Linked DNA regions of Ovis aries. The protein of the gene in region 2 binds, or shares a complex with, the protein of the main gene of each other region. Links are inferred from orthologs where the notes say so. Each region holds a gene or a part of one and is shown on either strand. Other genes may lie near its edges.

Region 1 (2,985 bases), on a different chromosome or scaffold from region 2:
TTCACTCCCAAGGACTGGAGCAAGAGGGGAAAGTGGTGACCGGACGCTGCCCGGGGAATGCCAGCAAAGGCAGCAGAACTGAAGCTGGCAGCCATCTCGCCCCCAGCAGGGTCTCCAAGAGGCACACCAAGGGAGACAGGGCTGAGGACCACTCCAAAAGGAGAGGACGGGCCTGGTCAAGGCTAGCTGGTGCCCAGCACCAAGGCGAGCTCAGGGCTCATGGCAACTCCACGGTCAGCTGGCTGCAGGCCCAGGCCTGCTGTGAACCAGGGACCAGAGGGAGCCAGGCAGCTGTGTATATAGTAAGAGGGGTGGGTGGGGTGCCTTGTACAGAGGACTGACGGCTGTACAAATTTCTTTTGTAAAGTAGGAGCTGGGGTGTGGTGGGTACTGGTTGCAAAATTATGGCCTCTTCTGCCCCATTGCCCCCTGGCAATAAATTGTTCCTAGAGGTCAGAGCTATGGAAGGTTCTGTGGGAGAAGGGGCAGTGTTGGCAAACTCACAGGTTCTGTGAAAAGCTCCTTTATTGGGTGAAGGACTCTGGCTTCACACTGGGGTGAGGGGTTCGGTGGCTTTCAATGTCAAGCTCTGGTTCTCAGTCTTCGGGTACCTGTGCGTGAATCTGCAACAGGAATCACCTCTACTATTGGATTTCTGCAGTATAGTGACTGGGTGGCCCAGATATTCAGAATCATAGCCCTTCTAGAAGGCCAGAGAAGAGTGCTGGGGAAGCCATGCTGTCCCTACCCAGTCTAATCCTCCAGTCAGACTGGGTCTCCATCTGCCCCATTGTTCGCCCCAGCCCCAAATTCACTCAGGCTGGGGTGGGGCCGGGGGTGGGGGGGGGTGGGTTCGGTGTTAGATAAAGCCTGGGAGGGAGAGGGCCCATCCATCTACTCACCGCTGCAGCGAGGCTGGGCCAGCTTAGGGCCCCACGCAGTTTGGCATCCGGACCAGGGATAGATTCCAGGCCCCACACGGTGAAGCTGCTGAAGCTGGCTGTGGCTCCCATAAAGCGGTCCTGGGGGCCGGGAAGGGGCCCTGGCTCAGCATCCGGGCTGCGGTTCCCACCCGGGCTCCCTTCCAACCCTATCCCCCAGTGCTCACGCAGTCCCGCTCCAGCGCCTCGGGGGGTTCCTCCAGTTCCTGCTCTTCTCGCTCGTGGTCATCCTGCTTCACCACCAACACTTCTGCCTTCTCTTCTGTCATCACATATCCCACGAAGTCGGGCGGCACCACCACCTCCTCGCCACGTAGACTACGGCCCCTAAACGACGCTTCCAGTCCTGGAGGAGGCAGAAGCAGGGAGGGCCTCTGAGGGTCTGACCCAGGCCTAAGGGAGCAAGCCCGGTGGCGGTCCGCCCGCCGCCTCCGGTGGACCACGATCCCCAGGAGGCCTGGCGGCGTTCCTCGCGGAGGAGAGCGCGATGCTGGCGCGGGGGCCGCCGGGAGCCGTAGTCCGGCCGCGAGGGCTCACCGTCGGAACCCAGGCGGATGGCTGGGGTGAAGAAGCGCCCCACCGGCGTGGGCCGGTTAACCGGGACCTCGCAGGGCAGAAGGTGCAGCGAGGCGGGGGCGGGATCGCGCAGTGTATCAGGGCGCAGGTGGACGCGGCGTTTGTCGATGGTCTCCTCGTAGCTGTTCTCCATAGTCCGTCACTACTCTGCAGCTCGCAGGCTGAGGCCAAAGCTGGCGCGCAAAGCGCGCGGAGCCTGTCGGGGGCGGTCGGCGCAGAGCCTCGTGGGAAGCGTAGTTCTTCTCTGAGGCGCTTCTCCAAGCCTGCCTCCCGGCGTTCCAGTCCCAGGGTTTTTTCCTTGAATTCCTCGGCCCACCCTCCGCCCCCGAAATACATTCTTACTGTAAAAAATTAAAACGGTATCTAAGAGTACACTTTTAACATTGATTAGTACAAAGTGTTGTGCTTTGTTTGTGGTGTAACACACACCACAAAGAAGGGATATCAGCCCTTCTTCACATGTGAAGATATTTTATCCTAGTTTGTCTTCCAAACCTGTATATTGGTCATTTTTATTACAGAGAAGACTTTTATTTATTTTGTAGTCACATATTCAATGTATCTGCCTTTTCTTTTCAGTCACAGTACTCTTTCCTTGTTCATTTCTTAAGGTTAGTCGCACAGTCGTGTCCGACTCTGCGATACCAAGGACTGTGGCCCGCCAGGCTCCTCTGTCCATGGAATTCTCCAGCAAGAGTACTGGAGGGGGTTGCCATTTCCTTCTGCAGGGGATCTTCCCGCCCCAGGGATCTAACCCGAGCCTCCTGCATTGCAGGCAGATTCTTTACCAACTGAGCTACTAACACTTCTCTAATGTTAATGTGTCCGGATACCCAACTTAGATTTTGACAAGTACTCTCATAAAACGAACTCCTACAAAACTGGTTATTAAGACTGAAATTGCGTTTAATTTATAGATTTGAGAAAGAGAAAAACATCCTTAGATTTCCAAGATCTGGCTTTGGTGGTCTGTTGAACAGGAACAATTTCATAGAATATCTGAGGAGGTCACTCTGTGATGTGAGTTATGAAAACAAAAGGAAGATCATTTCATACTCACCTGAACACTGACAAAAACACAAATATTGTCCAAAACACAAATAATGAGAATTCTTCTATCTTGGATAATATAGTGACTGTTGCTACTTTACCAATTATAGCGTCAGCCTCCGTATAGATAATGTTTGTTAACATATCCCATCGTAGAAATACTCCCACTCTCTGAAGGCATCCAATCCAAAGAAAAGTCCCACTTCCTTAAACGCTCCCTCAAATTCCCTAAAACACAAGTTCAAATCCTAGAAATCCTTCCTGTTGTTTTTCAGTTGCTAAGTCGTGTCCCACTCTTTGCAACTGCATGGACTGCAGCATACCAGGCTTCCCGGTCCTTCAGTATCTCCTGGAGTTTGCTCAAACTCATGTCCCTTGAGTTGGTGATGCCATTCAACCACCTCATCCTCTGTCGCCC
Region 2 (4,195 bases):
TCTACTGTAAAGCAGGTATCAGGCATCCCTTTACTATTTACTAGACTCTATGAAAACCCTGAATTTTGCATTAATTTGCCTTACACAAACTACAAACATCTCCAGTGAGGATGTGGAGCAACGGGAACTCTCACACAGCTGGGCAAATAAATCGGTACAACCACTTTGGAAAACTGTTGAGCAGTGTCCACCAAAGCTAAACACAATATCCAGGGCCAGCAATTCTACTCCTGGGTTTGCACCACAGAGAGATGATTACATCCTGCTACTTAAAGCCTCATAAAAGTGTTCGTAGAAGTGTAACTCCTAATACGGAGAAGGTAATGGCAACCCACTCCAGTACTCTTGCCTGGAAAATCCCATGGATGGAGGAGCCTGGTGGGCTGCAGTCCATGCAGTCAAAAAGAGTCGGACACGACTGAGCGACTTCACTTTCACTTTCATGCATTGGAGAAGGATATGGCAACCCACTCCAGTGTTCTTGCGTGGAGAATCTCAGGGACGGAGGAGCCTGGTAGGCTGCCATCTATGGGGTCGCACAGAATCAGACATGACTGAAGTGACTTAGCAGCAGCAGCAGCAACTCGTAATAGTTACAATCAGGAAAAAATAATCCAAATATCCACCCTCAGTAGTGGAAAAAAATAATATGACTATGCATACAATAAAATAGACACAGCAAGGAAAACACAAATGAACCAACAATCCTGACCACTGCTACAGACTACAGATGAGCCTCACAGACGTAACGCTGAGTAAAAGATGCAAGGGGTTAAGAATCACGTGCTTGACCAAACAGGCAGAACAAATACCTGGTGACAGAGGTCAGCATAGAGGTTACTGAGCCCATCTAGAACAGGCAAGAGGAGCTCACAGGATAAGTTCTAGGTCTTAATGTGTGGAATGGTGACAGGGGTGTACACATATGAAAAGTTCATGGACTTGCACACTTAAAACTTTTACACTTTACTATATGTACATGGGTTTCCCAGGTGGCTCAGCAGTAAAGAATCTGCCTGCCAGTGCAGGAGAGGCAGGTATGATCTGGGCCTGGGTCGGGAAGATCCCCTAGAAGAGGAAATGGCAACCCACTCCAGTATTCTCATCTGGGAAATCCCATGGACAGAGGAGCCTGGCGGGCTACAGTTCATGGGTTCACAAAGAGTCGGACTGGTCATGACCAAATGATTAAACAACAATATATATGTTATATTTCTTTATAAAGGGACAACGATATGTATAATTCTTTACAAAGAGGAAAATTAAACACACACAAAATATCCTTGACAGATTATCCTGTAATAACTTTCAATATCTATCATAAAAATCTTCCCTGATGGCTCAGAAGGTAAAGAATCGGCCTCCAATGTAGGAGACGTAAGAGATTCAGGTTTTATCCCTGGGTCAGGAAGATCCCCTGAAGAAGGAAATGACTACCCACTCTAGTATTCTTGCCTGAAAAACCCCATGGACAGAGGAGCCTATAGTCCAAGGGATCACAGAGTCGGACACGACTGAGCAACTAAGCACATATAAAAATCTAAATTACTGGGCAACTACATCTGTCATCAGAGTATCATTTACTGCAAAAATACTGCATTTGCTGAGCTACATCTCAAAATTAGATACAGAGAAGAATGGGCTTTCCTATATTCAATTACGCCATCAAATCAATGTATCCTTCTATGAAAAGGCCAAAACTTTCTGGCTTGCACTCCCTGGTCCCAAACTCCATTTATTCTGCCACTTCATGCCATCATAGGTGGCAACTGACGTCCATCATCTTTAGCCCCTGCAGGCCTGGATGTGGTCACCATCCCGGGGAGGCTGACAAGGCTGGCTCCAATCCTTAGCTACCTGCCTGAATCTCTCCGAATCACCCCTGTCCTAACCCCCACCACCATGCAGCCTCACAAATCAAGGCATGTCCCAGTGGAGGGAAAGTGTTAAGACAGCACAGCCTTCAGGTCAATGCGAACCTATTGGATTCTAGGTTCCGATCTAGTAGGGCTCAGACGCTAAGACAACTGTCAACTAGGACATACCAAATTACACCCCAAGAGCAGACACCTCCAGGCCTCGCCGCTGGCCCCCAGGTCCTGAACCCGCGCGGCCCTCCCCAAGCCTGCGCCGCTCCCTCCAGGCCACCCGATCCACAAAGAACCCGAACGGGGAAAATCCACTCGGTCTGCTTCTGCGCTTCCGGCTCAGGTTTAAAAAAAAAAAGCGAAACCGAGGGCACTGTGACCAAGAGGAGGAACCACGTGTTCCGGGTGACACTCGGGTCCCCCACGCGCGGCCGCGGGGGCAGGGCCGGGGTTGGCAGCCCCTAGACTCGGCGCTGACTCGCAAACAGTCAGGGTTCGCGCGCGCGCGAGGGACCGCGGGCCGGAGGGGGCGCGCCCCGTCGCCGAGAACCCGCCCGGCGCGCTCTCGGGCAGGGCCGCCCAGGGCAGGAGCCGGGGCCGCGCCCGCGCCCGCGCGCCGCCGCCCCGGGCCCGGCGTGGTTACCTGGGAGCAGGAACACGTGCTGCCAAACGCGAGCCCCCTCCCCGCCGTCCGCGCCGCGCGCCATGCCACTCGTCCGCTCCCGGCGGCCGCGGGCCTCAGCTCTCGGAGCGCGGGCTCGGCGAGACGCGGGTGGCAAATGGCGGGAGAAGGGTCGATTCCGGGAATGCGGCGGGGCCCGGGGCGCGCGGCCGGCCGGGCGAACGTCGTCTCGTTTCCGGAGTCCGCCAGCGGCCCAGATTTCAGAGTTTAAATTGAGCGCCGAGCCCAGGCTGCCGGCCCCCTGGCTCGTCGCCCGCCGGCAGGGAAGGGTCGCGGCCTCTCCCCCCTCCGCGGCTCGGCCAATGGTAGCTGCTCACCCGCGGCGCCCCGTGACGCGGCCCGGGGGCGGGGTCGCCGGGGCCCGGAGGCTCCGGGTCCGCGCTCCCAGCGGCCGTCCGCGCGCGCGGCGGGGCGCGGCCCGGGGAGATCGCGGCGAGGCCGGGTCCCCGGGCCGTGGGGCACCCGGAGGCTGGACGCTCGCCGCCCCAGTAGGCTGGCGGACGCGCGCACACCTGGCCGGACGCAAAGCCTGGCGCAAATTCCTCCTGAGGACGAAAACCGTCCGTCACACCCGAATCCTCATGCCGCTGTTCCTCGTCAACGTTTCTGGATAGCGCTTGCATTCTGCGTTGGAATTAATGCCAGAATCTGGTGTGCTTTGTGATTCTTGACAAAATGCATGCAAAGCAGACCTCAAATTGGGGTTGGTCCTCATTACTCCAAAGAGGGGCACAGTTTGAGGCCCAAAATGTACATTTGTTGTTTTGGAAGACGTTGATTTGTAACAAGTCAAGACTTTTTAAAAGCGATGTTTACAAAGTCAGAGTCATGATATTTACGTATTTAAACTTCTCAAAAATAAAATTTTAATTGTACACGGTTTTAGAAAAGGTACCAAGTGTGTGTCTCCTACTTAAGAATAAGTTTGACACCCTGCTACCCCAGACCCCCAATCCCCCTCCCCCAGGGTAGTTACTGTTATCAGTCTCTTATCCGTTCTTCCAGAATTTTTCCATTCACAAACAAGTTCCTGTGTCTTACTCTTATTTTGCACAGATGAAAGAGTAATATGCATAACTCTTAAGGCACTTAGCGGTTTTTGTTTAATCTTGAAGATAGGTAAATGCTGCAGCACTAGATCATCTCGACCTTCTGAAAAGATTCTGTTTCCATCCTACTTCCCACCAGGGCAGACAAATGCAACTGAAGGTGACTGCACGAAGCACCTGGCGGAGAGGAAGCCTTTCTGGTAGAGGAGGGGCACCCAGAGGCCAGCTCTGGGGCAGGCCGCAGAGAGGTATTGCTCTAGAGCTATTTTCATCTTTCTCTGAACATTCCCAGCCATTGGCTGTTTGAATATGTGTTTTTATGTGGTTGTTTTCACAGTCCAGTTCAGTTCAGCTGCTCAGCCATGTCCGACTCTTTTCGACCCCATGAATCACAGCATGCCAGGCCTCCCTGTCCATCACCAGCTCCCAGAGTTCACTCAAACTCACGTCGGTAATGCCATGCAGCCATCTCATCCTCTGTCTTCCCCTTCTTCTCCTGCCCCCAATCCCTCCCAGCATCAGAGTCTTTTCCAATGAGTCAACTCTTCGCATGAGGTGGCCAAAGTATTGGAGTTTCAGCTTTAGCATCAGTCCTT

Evidence for each region. Proteins that work in one complex are often made in the same cells at the same time.
Region 1: the proteins of RNASEH2B (region 2) and RNASEH2C are in contact, whole or in part, in a crystal structure (PDB 3PUF), measured with the Homo sapiens proteins. The link is inferred for Ovis aries from reciprocal best matches to the Homo sapiens genes RNASEH2B and RNASEH2C. Residues at the interface, in NP_078846.2 of Homo sapiens: Arg14, Gln15, His16, Val17, Phe18, Leu19, Val20, Ser21, Glu22, Leu24, Leu35, Met36, Phe37, Val38, Lys39, Leu52, Glu62, Lys64, Phe66, Glu68, His70, His71, Ser72, Trp73, Phe74, Ile75, Asn76, Gln77, Ser78, Val79; in NP_115569.2 of Homo sapiens: Ile9, His12, Arg13, Val14, His15, Leu16, Ser18, Ala27, Thr28, Leu29, His30, Leu31, Leu32, Pro33, Cys34, Glu35, Val36, Ala37, Val38, Asp39, Gly40, Pro41, Ala42, Pro43, Val44, Gly45, Phe48, Phe63, Val75, Pro77.

What each region holds. Positions count from the first base shown.
Region 1 is NC_056074.1:40,326,449-40,329,433, forward strand, and holds RNASEH2C (ribonuclease H2 subunit C), read right to left. Parts: upstream 1,693-2,985; 5' UTR 1,651-1,692; coding exon 1,479-1,650; intron 1,288-1,478; coding exon 1,109-1,287; intron 1,023-1,108; coding exon 816-1,022; 3' UTR 624-815; coding exon of another isoform or gene 597-623; 3' UTR 508-596; downstream 1-507. Other genes in the region: histone acetyltransferase KAT5, read left to right, coding at 1-39.
Region 2 is NC_056063.1:20,677,210-20,681,404, reverse strand, and holds the start of RNASEH2B (ribonuclease H2 subunit B), read right to left. Parts: upstream 2,855-4,195; 5' UTR 2,576-2,854; coding exon 2,512-2,575; intron 2,376-2,511; exon of another isoform or gene 2,046-2,375; intron 1-2,045. UniProt on the Homo sapiens protein: Non catalytic subunit of RNase H2, an endonuclease that specifically degrades the RNA of RNA:DNA hybrids. Participates in DNA replication, possibly by mediating the removal of lagging-strand Okazaki fragment RNA primers during DNA replication.